Linked DNA regions of Drosophila melanogaster. The protein of the gene in region 1 interacts with the protein of each later gene in a pairwise test. Each region holds a gene or a part of one and is shown on either strand. Other genes may lie near its edges.

What was found. The genes of interacting proteins can lie anywhere in the genome.
Region 2: the proteins of CG3632 (region 1) and CG7556 interact in a two-hybrid assay, tested with the Drosophila melanogaster proteins (one large-scale study listed by BioGRID).

The regions. Positions count from the first base shown.
Region 1 is NC_004354.4:16,294,957-16,302,713, forward strand, and holds the start of CG3632 (uncharacterized protein), read left to right. Parts: upstream 1-1,714; 5' UTR 1,715-1,819; coding exon 1,820-1,834; exon of another isoform or gene 1,835-1,951; intron 1,952-2,126; exon of another isoform or gene 2,127-2,283; intron 2,284-2,685; exon of another isoform or gene 2,686-2,704; coding exon 2,705-2,828; intron 2,829-2,892; coding exon 2,893-3,884; intron 3,885-4,063; coding exon 4,064-4,254; intron 4,255-4,319; coding exon 4,320-4,515; intron 4,516-4,583; coding exon 4,584-4,769; intron 4,770-4,838; coding exon 4,839-5,003; intron 5,004-5,074; coding exon 5,075-5,201; intron 5,202-5,269; coding exon 5,270-5,375; intron 5,376-5,441; coding exon 5,442-5,752; intron 5,753-5,814; coding exon 5,815-5,919; intron 5,920-5,982; coding exon 5,983-6,568; intron 6,569-6,644; coding exon 6,645-6,795; intron 6,796-6,856; coding exon 6,857-6,961; intron 6,962-7,253; coding exon 7,254-7,456; intron 7,457-7,757. Other genes in the region: ERp44 (endoplasmic reticulum protein 44), read right to left, coding at 1-162, 267-358, 1,091-1,175, 1,354-1,410.
Region 2 is NC_004354.4:19,175,570-19,181,804, forward strand, and holds CG7556 (uncharacterized protein), read right to left. Parts: upstream 4,262-6,235; 5' UTR 4,111-4,261; coding exon 3,431-4,110; intron 2,679-3,430; coding exon 2,471-2,678; intron 2,394-2,470; coding exon 1,713-2,393; 3' UTR 540-1,712; downstream 1-539. Other genes in the region: CG7453 (uncharacterized protein), read left to right, coding at 4,710-5,624.

The sequences.
Region 1 (7,757 bases):
TGAACGCTGTCCTCGGTATTCGCGCTTGCTGAGCTGCCCATTGCGTACAATTTTCAATGTTGGATACTTGTTTATGTGGAAACGGGACGCGATGGCCGTTTCCTTGTCGCAATCGACCTTGCCTAGCACCACTTTTCCAGCCTCTGGAAACTCCTCTTTAATCTGTAAGAGAAATTCGATTGAATGCCACGTATTTATTCGATATAAAATGTATATGAATGTATCGCATTGTTTGTAAGCTTTTACTGGCGATCCATTTGACTCACCTTATCTGCAGCTTCCGCGAATATAGGTGCTAAAATATTACTAAACCGACACCACTCCGCATAAAAATTAAGGAAAACCAATTCATTAGACGCTGCAAGAAAACAAAACGTGTTTTTAATGTAGGCACCAAATTGTGTGTAAAATTGTTGATGCGTAGAATACAACTCCGTTCAGATACTAAATATAATAACTTTTAAAAACATATATTTGGTAATATATTTATATCAATATTGAATTACGGGTTTATGTATTAATAATTTAAATGCATATGTATTTTTATGGAATATATTTAAATTTGTCGCTGAATATACATATTAAAGTCAAGAAATTTCTAGCATCCTACTATTCCATAACTTCCGAAAGTTAAAATTTAAGGGGTGCAAGCCTAAGGCCAGGCTTTACTGTAAAAGTTAACGTTTGGATAATAAAAAAAAATAACTTTAAAAAAACAATATAGTATTACCGCAGGATTGTGTACAGGACACACCGTATAAAAAGGACCTATTCATGCAAAGACCAAACTTCGGACATTCTGAGCAAAGAACTGCCGACCAATGGCTAGTGCCCATTTTGGCGGACTATCGGACCGATGCAGCATGAAATATAAACCGCCCTAATTAAGTTTTATCCAAATTCCACACCTTGTCCTTTACGAAAGCGCATAAAACTTATTTTACCACGTTGGCAGTGCCGAATTGAGCGAGCCAGTGATTTTGTTTAGTGACACGTCAATGGGACAAGTCGGCTAATTGATTCCCGCTCACGCTGGCAGCGGGAATGGCATGGGGATGACTGTGATGGTTATGGTATGGGCATATCTCACCTAGGGTCATATCGATATTATCACTGGTCATGGGCACGGCTCCGGCGGCATCGGCCGGCTGTGTGTACTGGAGTAGCTGTAGAATCTGTAAATTCCATAGGATGTCAGTTCTGGTTAGTTAGTTATTTGGTTAGGGGGAGCCAAAAAAAAGCCGGGGCTGTCTGGCCGGCCCCTCCCCACTGTTTCCCCGCCCGCTGATCGAGCGGGTGAGCCACTCCAGTGACCAGCAACATGACCAGACAGAACGGAACACGTCGACTCACCGCAACTAGGGCCACACACGGCCCAAGCTTTCCGATTCCGATTCTGGCTCCAAACATTCTTGTTCGGCTTCCGAATGGCGAATGCGGCTGGCGAGGAGTGGGCGTAGAATTGCGTGCACCGGCGGAGAGTCCAAGCGATCGGTTCTCTTTTTTTCTGATTTCAGTTACACATCAGCTGGAATGGAATGCAAACGTACGCACAATTATTAAGTTTTACAAATTTTTGGTTGATTTTATCGGCTGGCCAGTGTTGGTTAGTCTCGAATGCACATCTCATCGGCAATCGAGTAACGATAGCTTAGTCACATGACTTGGCCATCGCTAACAGCAGCGATAACAGCGATAGCAGCAAACAACGATAGCAATTTCAATGGAAATGAAACAAAAAGTGTCTAAATGAATACATATGCATACATATGTATGTGCAACAACATTTGCAAATCTTTGTTTATAATAGCTGACGCTTATGGATTTTATGGTGGTAAATAGAGCGAGAAAATCTAGAAGCCAAGCGCGTTTTCAATTCGGCAATACGTTTTGAGCTAAATACCCCGAAAAGTCTGCTGAGCGAACGGTTTGTGGAATCCAAAAACCAAATGTGTGTGCATACATATGTACGATTGTAATGTGTTATTGTTGCTCCCCGAAATATCGAAACACAAACATACCTACATAGACAAATATACATATGAGTTTATGCAAACATACACATGCGTAAATGTTTAATTACTTTGTTTATGACAACATACACGGCCATTAGAATACGTTGAGTACGATAATCGGCCATTTTTCGCCTATTGGCTATGAAATCGTGATAATCTAGTCTATTGGTATATATGTGCGTGCGTATGTAATGCAGCGACACACAAATATGTGCATACTATATATTGCGCACCTTGTGGAACTGCAACTGTGTGTGCTCACATAAATGTATGTTCATTGTACATTGTACATCCATACGTGCATATATATGCAGTGCATTATCTATATTGCCACCACGACACTCAAAAACTCAAATATTAACTTCGATTTGTTCTAAAAGTGTTGATTGTGCCCAATTTATCATCCCAGTGACATTTATTTGGCTTTGTTTGTGCACTGCTTAATGCACATGCACATATGTGCATAGTATTATTTATTTATTTATGGGAGCCACTATACTATACGTATCGAATCGTCCCAATAACATCGCACACACACTGTTGTGCGTAATTATGTATTCGGATGGTGGATATAAGAGATATATGCACTTATAAGCGATAACCGGATTTCCAATGACACCCAAATCGCCTTGCCTAAATATAAGCAAATAAGTAATTTCGAATACGTTACATGTTAAGTATTCTTTTAGCCGATTCACACAATGTCCGATGGATCACCGCCTCCATCGATTTGCTTTATCCGTGCCGCCGAATCGTATCCAAAGTCACAAATGGAGAAGGAAGACTCCCAGCTGTTCGTCCCGTTTCAAGAGTGTAGGTGTTCCCCCATATGCTGTAACCGATAACACATGCTAATCTATAGTATATATACCACTAGTGGCCGGCGAATCGATTAAGTACCTGGGGCGCACGGATGATGGTATCCTCGCCCTGTCCAATTATCGGATATTCCTTTCCAAGCAGTCAACCGGCTACGAGACCTACGTTCCATTGGGATTAATCGAATCCGTACAGGTGCGAGATCTGTTCCAGCTGATTGTCAATTGTAAGGATGCCAGCACTGTGCGCTGCTCCTTTCCGTCGGCGGAACAGTGCTCCGACTGGCAGCGCCGGATCCATCTGATGATCGGGGTTCCCGAGTCACTGGAGACACTCTTCGCCTTTCCCTTCTACTCCTGGACCTGCGATGTGCTCGGAAGTGGCAATGGAAGCGGTATCGTTAGCGCCCAGGCCAACGGAAACGGCCTGATTGCCAAGGATCGTTGCCTAACGCTACACAATGGCTTGGCAAAGCCAACAGCCAACGTCACAGCGTCGAATCCTCTGCCCGATCCTGCCAGCGAGACCATCTCAGCCGCCATGAGCAATCGCCTGCAACGATCAGTGCGCTATGAAAGCGACTTTAAGAACGAGGTTGCCCGCTTGGGATTCGATCTGAAGGGCTCGTGGCGCATCTCCACGGCCAATGCCGATTTTAAGCTCTGTCCCTCGTATCCACCCAAATTGCTTGTGCCCTGCTGTATCACCGATGAGATGCTCCACAACGTGGCCAACTTCCGGGGATCACGAAGGCTGCCGGCTGTCGTCTGGCGGCACCAAAAGTCGGGTGCCATCTTGGCCCGATGCAGCCAGCCGGAGGTCGGTTGGCTCGGCTGGCGCAACACAAGGGACGAGCAGCTACTCAAGGCACTCGCCGATGCCTGTGCCTTTGACAGGGGCGAGCACGCCAGGCATTCCACCTGCGCCAATGCAAAGGCGCAACCAACAAAGGGCTCCAAGGAGACCAACGGCCAGTCGGGCTTATCCGGCAAGAGTTCACCATCTCTGGACGATTCCTCGCATGAGGAACTCACGCTGGATGAAATCAAGGTAAGTTTATTACCAAAATAGCCGGGTATTCTTGAAATGAAGGTTTCAGTTACCATATAAGAAAACATTCATGAATAATTATCATAAATTACTTAACACGGAGCAGTAAAATGATGTCAAAACCGCCAAGTGCTAATGAAATAATTTGATCATTGCTCTTAAATTGTATTTGCTTTCAGAAAATCCTCATTGTGGATGCTCGCAGCTACACCTCCGCAGTTACAAATCGTGCCAGAGGTGGCGGCTGTGAGTGCATCGAGTACTATCCCTGTGCAGAGATTGAGTTTATGAACTTGGGCAACATCCACGCCATTCGAAAGAGTTTCCACGCTGTCCGACAGCTATGCGCGTCATCCCCCGATGATCCAAAGTAAGTTTACTAGCTGATTATTAAAGATATATATATATTTATGTAATGGAATCATATTCTTGCAGCTGGTACGGACAACTGGAAAAGACCATGTGGATGCAGCACCTGTCGGGTCTGCTGGGAGCCACCATGACCGTTGTGCACACCATCGAGAAGAATGGACGACCCGTCCTTGTACATTGCTCAGACGGTTGGGATCGCACTCCACAGATCGTGGCCACGGCGCAATTATGTTTGGATCCCTACTACAGAACGGTTGAGGTACGTTGATATACATCAACATTTGTGTTCTATGGACTAATACTCTACCTACTTGCTTGTATTTGCAGGGGTTCCGCGTTCTTGTCGAGCGTGAATGGCTGAACTTTGGACACAAATTCGCCGATCGCTCTGGAAATGGTCCCAATTCCGATGAAGTTAACGAGCGATGTCCAGTTTTTCTGCAGTGGCTTGATCTTGTGCATCAAATACACAGGCAGTATCCATGCAGTTTTGAGTTTAGTATAAGCTATTTGGTAAGTGGTGGCATGGAATTTCGCACGGAGTTGTGCACATTAACTCCTTGTTATATGCATTCTTTTTAGATCAAACTGGCGCAACATTCGTTGTCCTGTCTCTTCGGCACGTTCCTATGTAATTCGCTCAGAGAACGCATCGAGAATTCAGTTTTCGACCGAACGTTTTCCGTGTGGCCATTTTTAGCGGAAACTATGTATAGAAATCCTCTCTATAAGCATGAGACTGAAAAGGTGGTTAATAACTTGATATATGCTGTCAGCCTAAAGGAGAATGCTAATGATTTTTGTGTTTTTTTTTTTAGGTTCTTTGGCCAGCGCACAGTGTGCGGTTTTTATATTTTTGGTCTGATGTATACCTTGGTAGTTTAGGCAACAAAAATGGAACTGATCTACCATTACTAAGTAATGAAAGACAGAGCGGACACAATGGTGAGTTGAGTAGAGTACTCCTAATTGAAATTGACTCACTTTTTACTCCTTACTGCCACAACCAATAGGCCTCATGGCGAAGACACGATCTTCTGAAGACTTAACAACGAATGAGTTGGGACAGAGCACCATTTCCAGGAGGTCCAGTGATCCCAACCTGACCGTTGAATCCATGTAGGTCAACTGAAGATTATTTGATCCGGCAGCAAAATGAATTTCGTTCTTTTCCCTACGATTCAGTGTTACAGATTGTTTCAATGCCAATAGCAACTCGATGTTTGACATACGATCCGAGGCCAACAACAGTGTTAGCGAAAATGTCCAAGAAAGTGTTAAAGACTCCAAAGAAGTAGAGCTGGACGTGACGGATGCAACTGAAGTAGGTCCATGTGGCCGTTCAAATAATCCCATTCCAGATTTCCATAACGACCAAAGTACAGCTTCTAAACGTGATATATTGGAAGTGGAATCACAAACGCAAAGGCGAAGTTCCTTGGAGTCCTCACAGCTGATCCCTGGGTCTGTCTTCATTTTTGGCTCATCCGAAAACGGTAAAAGATGTTAGGATAAAGCAAAAGAACTTAACTAAACTTAACTACCTTAATGGTTTTAGATAAAAATGCAGTTCCTTCGGAATCTGAAGAATCCTTGGCGACCTCACAGAAACTGAACTCTGAATCTGGGCGACCTTTTTTCATATTTGGTTCATCCGAAAACGGTAAGAGATGTTAGAATGAAGAATAGAATGAATACGTTACATTAACTATCTTAATGATTTCAGATCAAAGTCCAGTTCCTTTAAAATCTGAAGACACAAGTGATATTTCTCGCGCCCTGTGGCATGGCGCAATTGAAACCAGCACTGATACCCTTATTCCTGCGGAGCCCGTACAAAAACCAAACAGCGACAATAGCAGTAGAGATCACATAACATCCCCCACAATGGAACTGGTCAGTGGTGATAGAAAGCTGGAGTCGACTAGCACTGTCCAAGCCAGTAAAATCAGTCAGAGCTACAATAATTTGCCCAAGGTACACATAAGACCGAATGCCGTTATATGCCCGCAGCGGGTAGACGCTTTTCCCCATCACCTGGACCTACAAGTGCCAAGGGAGACGACGGGAAATCCGGACCGTTGCAAGCCGGAAAAGTTAGCCAAAGATGCAAATGCGAATGCCAATGCCAACGGATCCCTGCTGGCATCCGATGGCTACAACGGCGAGGAAAGTCTCTTTATATCACCCGACCTTCAGCGGTTCGTGGGCCAGTCGCCATTCGATGCTCCCTCGACGGGCGGACGAATACGGCGAAATACCTTCGGCTCGAGCTACAGTCGCGATATGAAGTTCACGGCTGAAAATGGCAGGTGAGTTGTGTGTACTTTCTCACTGGTGGCATCTCCCATTGGACTGAATCAAAAAAAAAAAAAACTCTACTTTCAGCGCACACCAATTTCCGTCGTCGGGGATCATTTCGTTGCCCCCAACACCATTTCAGGAGAGGGCTCAGTTCACTATATCCTGTCCAGATGGCCTGGCTCACGGACTCAGCGAACAAAACATAAGACTCCACCAAATCGTACAAGAACACAAGGTGAGCTCCGGTGCAAAAGCAGTTTTCATTATAGTCATTTTAATCACATACACTATTTCAGCTACGTGAGGAAATGCTACTGCGAGAAATACACGGTATGCGACTGGCTCTGTTGGAAAAAGGTTGCCCCAGCTGCAACAGCATCGTTTCGACAAATATGGAACATGTAAATAATGATCGTTTAAGATACAAAATGCGTGCATATATTCTTGAAAAGCGTGGTTAATGTTAGTTATAGACCCTCGGTGCAAAGTGACTGCCCAATTTGTTTAAAACATGGGCCTTGGTCTTTGGATTCTCACAGTGCATATTCTGTAAAATATGAATTTGTTTCATCCTTAAATCACCAGAGCGCGAAGTGGTGGTGGTGTTTCAATCAGGGGCAATACTCTGCCATCTAATCATAAGTTACAATGTGCATTAACTGTCAGTCGTCTAATTATTTAACTCTTCTCTAGGAAAATGGATCGGATATCGTTGAAAATGCTTCAACATGTTCCTGGGAGGCCGTCGAAGAACGTAGTGGTCCCGCCTCGTATGCCCCTTCCTCGATTCAAGAGAAAAAAGCCTCCAGTGTCCTCTGGGTGCCAGACCATGCAGTTTCGCGTTGCTCTAGTTGTCAAACTGAGTTCTGGCTTGGACGAAGAAAACATCATTGTCGGTGCGCATCCAACACTTGAAACCTTAATGATTTACTCTTAAAAGATTTTTAATATGTATGATTTTCGACTTGAGTTGAATATTACCATTTTTAGCGATACAAAATTCCTAGACCTTAAATGTCAGTAACTAAGACTCGAGTACCTTCTTTATGACTGTGCAATATTACGATTAAATTTGACTATTCAATTTCTTTTCCTAAAGCTCATATTCAACTTGAGTTGAAAGCGTGTTATAATTTTCTTACTTTACTGGGATACATGACTATACTAACAGTGTAAACTATGCTAATCAAGAATATA
Region 2 (6,235 bases), 2.9 Mb from region 1:
CAATAAAAAACTGGAATCCAACGAATTTCCATTAGCATCAGTTCCAAAGGGTTAATTAAAAAGTAACTCCAAGTATGACTTAACTGAAAGTGATCAAAACGACCCTTAATTAAAAGTGGAAAATTAAAAAAATATATTTTGTAAGTTTAATTGTTCAGAAATAAGATATAAGATATATATATTTGAATATTTATTATATCTCTTATTTGAATTTAAGTCAACGAACGAACAAAAATGCAAGCTACATTTTTTCAAATTTTAATACGAGTATATTTATAGTAGATATGTGTACATATAAACATACATGATGAAAATATAATTACAACATTATTATTGTCTTTTAATTATATTTTTCTATTTTATGTACAATGCATACATTTATCCAAATCGCAACTTTTATGTTGTAAGGTAATTATTTTCAATAAATGTCATAAAGCAAACTTGTATTGTGTGAAAAGTGCATGTTATTATATAACTAATAGATTTTAATCAAACTTTTAAGAAAGTTCCTTCGTCTACAAAGCAAAGAGCATTCAGCTGGAAGTTCAATTCGCAATTCGTTTTCCAGTTGTCATCCAAGCGAATTCAACCAGCTTTCGTGGTGGACAGTCTGACGAGCTCTGCTGCGCCTACACTTGAGTTCGCGGAGTCTAGAGTTTGGAGTCTTGGATCTTGGTTGTGGGTCTTGTTGACGCAGTCTGGTGATTCTAGTGCACAAGCGTTTTAAGTTCAATGCAAACTCGATGGGTGACCAAATTGGGAGGAGGCAACGCATCGAGTTGGCCATAAGCAATCCAACCGGACTGGGCAACCAAAAGCGAGGAGTTGACGCCGTTCAGAGTCACAGTCATAGTCCAATAATCATCAAATGTAAGGCGAGCGTAATTAAAAGCCAATCGTTCCAAGGTTATCCGCACACACACAACCCCATAATAATCCGCCTGCCAGCCACATTAATAATGAATTGGTATCTTTGATTAGTCGCGGGCTTCCAAAAATCGTCAAGAACCGCCGAAAGTGCTTAACTTAGTTTTGATTAATAATAAATCTGAAAGGGAAACTTCTCTTTGATCGGCTGACAGGTTCAAGCCAACTGGGAATTATAATTGGTTAGCGCTTGACTTTGATGGCTTTAAAGCTGCAATTGACATAAAAGATACGTTTTGCGAATGGCGGTTTAGAAAGGCAATAATAATAATTAACCATTCGCGTTTGTGTACATAATAAATTGATTTAATATTGTATGAATGTATTTAATGCTTCTATGATTTATGTATATGTAGTGGCTATGCTGTTGCACCTACTAACTTTGTCAAGTTCTGTTACTTTTGATGTTTATTTTATTAGTTACTAACCTGGAAGTACACCGTATCTATCATCGATGGCTTTATCCCTGACAGAAACCCATCAAAAACTCTTATCCTATTCACTTCCTCTTACATTTCGTTTACTTAGCAAAGGAATTAATCGACATTTAGATGTTTACAATATAGAATTATGTACAAAACATAAGATAAGCGCTACACACGGTGATGGAAACAGAAGGTCAGGGAAGGGGCAGAGGATCGGGCCGCGGATTAGGATTGGCAAGGTCCAAAATGCTATGCCAGAGAGTCTTTAATGCAAAGTATAAAAAAATTCAATTACATCTAGTTGTGAGCCACGCGAGGAGATGCCGCAGCAGGAGGACAGAGCGGGAGCCGGGTTTCCGACTAACTGATCTCGTACTGATATGCATCGTCCGAGTCCTCGCCGCTGGATAAGTCCCGCTTACGGCGACGCTGCTCCCGCTTGCTGAGCTTCTTGGCGGCTGGCGCCACTTCCGGTTCTGGCGGCGCAAGGGGCTCCTCCTCGGGGAGCTCTTCCTCGATGGCGGCCGCATCCTCGTCCGGCTCGTTGGCCTCCTCCTCGGCCCGCTTCTGCGTCTTGACCAGCTCGCAGAGATACTTGTAGCGCACCAGGCACTCCTCCTTGGTCTTCTCCGGCACACTGTTGGCGATCTTCTGCCAACGGTCTCCGCCGGCCGTCTTCCGGTACTTGACTATCGCCGCCTCCAGGGCGCGCTGCTGCTCTTGCGTCCAGTTGGTCTCCGGAATTAGCATGCTCTTCTCGGCTGAAGCTCCTGCATTTGCGGCTGCCTTCTTCACTTTTTCCTTACGCTGCGCCTGCTGGGACTCCTGGACGAGAGCCTCGGCCACGCTGTCAGTTTGGCCGGGAATGCGGTAGCCATTCTCCTTCATCTTGGCCGCCATAAAGGTCACCTCCTGAACGCTGCGGTTCATCGACTCGGCGATAGTGTTCCAGCGGCTGCCAGCTCCGCCAGGATACTTTTTTACCAAGCGAATCAGCTCGGTAAGATCCTCGTCAGTCCAGAAGCCGCCGCTCACCGTGCTCTAAAAGTAAAAGCATGAAATTAGTAGGGTTTCGAATTTACTAGGGAACAGGAAACACTATACTGTCGGCTTTATACCTTCTGGGAAGCTGGACGAACTGCATCGTCATCTGTCAATTCGCGAGTCTGAATCTGCGAATAGCCGCGCAATTCTTCCTCGGTCTTCTCTGGAGCCTTGCTGTTCTGCTTGCGCTTCCGCAGATTCTCCTTGTGCTCCTTGCGAAGGCGCGCCTGCTCCTCGGCCTCCCGTTCCAGTTCCTCCTGACGACGGACGGCCTCCAGTTCCCTGTGGATGCAAATTGGGATGAATCAATTAGTTTCTTACTTCTTACTTTTGGATACCGTTCCCACACGATTTTTGTTAGCTTGTTAGCTATTCTACGCTAATCGAATTTTAGTACCTTATCTGTGGTCATATCAAGAATGCTCAGTTTCATTTGATTATCGTGCGACACAAAGACTGACAATATTCCTTCTTTGGAACCTATCTAATGGTGCAAGTCATCTTAAGGTGCACTCATGAGCACCTTTTTTGGAAAGCATAAAATGTGTTTGCATGGTGACATATCGTTTTCTTTCTTTGTTTCTTAATTGAATTGCCTATATTTAGAAGAATTGTTCTAGCTTGTGAATATAAAATGCTAACTAAAGGCTATGACCAAAATTTCAACTGAGAAATGAGAAACTAACCAACTTTTAATATTAAATGATATCACTCTGCATGCAATGAACATACAGAAACCACAGCGAATTAACGATAAGAGTGGCAATGTAAGTTATCAAAACCTGATGCAATACAAAACTAGAATTATATTCTTTTGTTGCTCTATATACTAAGATATTGAAGACTAAAGTAAGAGAGGTCTGCCAAAACTCCGAGCACAAGGTCGCAAAATAATAATCCTTCCGCTGCCAGGACCTCTCGATATAGAAACTTAATGAAATAGCAAAATCCTACAACTCCAAAATGACTACAATGGAACAAGGCGCTATAATAACGTAAAAACGTAAGGTAAGCAATAGAACCCTGCCACTTACTGCCTGCGCTTCTCCAGGGCGAGTTCCTTTAGCTCGTTGGCCTTGCTGAATCCGTTCTTGATGGTGCGCGGCAGGTTCCACAGGGCCAAGGGGATCTGGATGGGCAGGGTGTTGAGTAGCGAGGGCATCGGTATCTCGCTAAGGATCACGTCCATGTCGATGTTCTTGTTCTTCTTCTGCAGCTTCTTCAGCTTGGTGCCAAAGACCTGTTCGGCGGTGTACTTCTTCTCGAGGTAGGCCGCCCAGGCGAATAGATACTGGCCCACGGTGGTTATCAGGAAGAGGATAAAGGCGCCCTCATAGAGCCCGATCTTGCGCATACGTCGGTAATAGTAGAGGGCAGACTTCCAGTTGGGCATGCCCTCCTTCAGTACCCGGTCGTACTTCTCTCGGCGCGACGGATCTTTGAGAACCTCGTAGATGGAAACGAGGTTGCGGAACTGGATGTTGGCATCCTCGGCCGGATTCTTGTCCGGATGCAGGACAATGGACAGGGTGCGGAAGGCGCGCTTCACCTCGGCGCCCGTTGCCGTTTGGTTGATGCCCATGAACTCGTAGAAGTTGCGGTTTACCTCCTCGACCAAGTCAAAGATCTCCAGTTCCTCCGAGTGCCAGGCGCTGGCGCCAGTGGCGCAGAGCAGCAGGAGGCCGGCCAGCGTCAGCTCCGGTCGCATCATCATCGTGGTCCGAGTTCCGAATCCAGGTCAGGTCCAAATCGGAGTAAAATCCAAATTTAATGCGCCAGACCCACGCACGCACCACAAATACACACACACGCAAGCAAACACGGATAGGCTCAGCTGGAAAGTGGCAACGTCAGCAGACTGGTCGCTGGTGCGACAGCGTTGCCACCACTCGGTAAAGTTTGTGTAGACAAAAAGATATTTGCAACGTTTCTATTATTTATTTTTACGAATTTCTGTTTTTTTGTTCAAAAATAATTTACTGCACTAATTCTGTAACCATATATATGTAATCAAATTTTACAAATTTTTTTTTCCAACTAACGACACACAGTAGGTCAAACAGATTTCGTTTGTTTGCTCATTAAAATTTGCTCATAACATTTGTCAAGTTCTTCCTGAAAACAATAAAACAAATTCTCTTTCTATACCGAATTTTGTTTTAACTTGATACACGTTTTTCACCTGTTTCAAACCAAAACGCCCAACACTGTCGACTGTTATCGATAAGCTCTCGATGGTGCATCACTTGTGCAACTAAATGAATAGAAGCGACGCGACGTTTCACTCTTATAAGAATAAGAAATCAGACGACAATGAAGCTGCTCTATATGCTGTGGCTGCTGAGCATCTTGGTCCTGGTCTCAGGCCAGCAGAAGCAGACAGCTAACTCCGCCACCAAGGACGCCCCAGTGGTGGCCAATGCGACGAACGTGCTGCAGGCCAAAGTTATTCCAGGATCGAAATTGGAATCTGGATCTCCGGGAGCTGCCAGCCAGCTGGTGCCGGGTAAGGATGCAGCTGTGTTGCAACAGGACAAGAACTTAAACAAAACGGCCACAGCAGAAAATGCAGGTAAAGCCAAAAATCTCACAAACACCGATACAGGAGTGCCCACCATTCCTTTGGTCACTTCCAAGCCGGCTGTGGAGCAAAAGGCGGCCAAGGAGGCGACCAATACGACCTCCACTACAACTTCTTCCACCACGACCACCACCACCACGGCAAAGCCAGCTGCAGGATCAGCCATAGTCACCGAGGGCCAGTCCATGAAGGATGTCACCAAGCCGAGCAACTCGTCCACCAACGGCGCGGCAATATCCCCGACCAACAGCACCCACACCGCCACAGCCACCACCAAAACTGTCAATTCAACCATCATCGCAACCACGCCAAAGCCGAAGAAGCCCCCAGTGGTATTGAGCACTGATATACACCAGGAGGGGGAGGATATGGCGGAGCTGGAAAAGAGTCAGGATAAGCCAGGTACAAAGGGCGCTCCCACCCAGCCATTGGCCACACCACCAGAGCCATTGGTGCAGGGGCTTACTGGAAGTAATCTTGCCGATCACGGAGAGAACGGGTATGTGGTACCCATTGTTACCGTGCTGCTGACCGTTCCGCTGGCCATCGGCGTGGTGACCATCATGTACCGCCGCTTCCGCGACATGTGGAGCACCAGGCACTACCGTCGCATGGACTTCCTGGTGGACGGCATGTACAACGACTGACGAAGACGCGGACGACAGGCTGGCGGCAAGGGCGGCCACTTCACCGGGTGCTCCAACGCCTCCTCCGGCGCACTCGGATGATTATTAGTTGTTTAAGTTATACACGACTGGACGTGCTTGCATTCAATGCAAGATCGCCGGATCGAAAGCAGAGTGAGAGTAGCGGAGAGCAGAGGAGGCGGTGGGAAAACGAAACGAAACTATGATATTGCTCAGTCAATTAGAGGAGGAGGAGAAAGGGATTCGCTTTGCAGCGTGGCTAGGATACCCTTCCGAGCGGCCAAATTGAATTTAAAGCCAACTGATTTTCAACACTAAATTCGAGTGGACTCTTAAGTTTAAGCATTTGGATTATTGTCAAGCATTTGTTAGCAATCAAAAATTGATACCGGCACTTATATGTACCCTATATATACATATATCTACTTAGGCTGCTGCTGTACATCGAAGGCTGCGGACTCTCAACCATCAACCATCAACATCAACATCAGCGCAATTAGCAATCACTTGATGCATCCACAATCTAGCCGTAATGTGCCTTACGAACCAGCTCTATATACACCTTTACACATGATATTCTCCATCGCCGGGTCTTCGAGGTGATTTCTTCG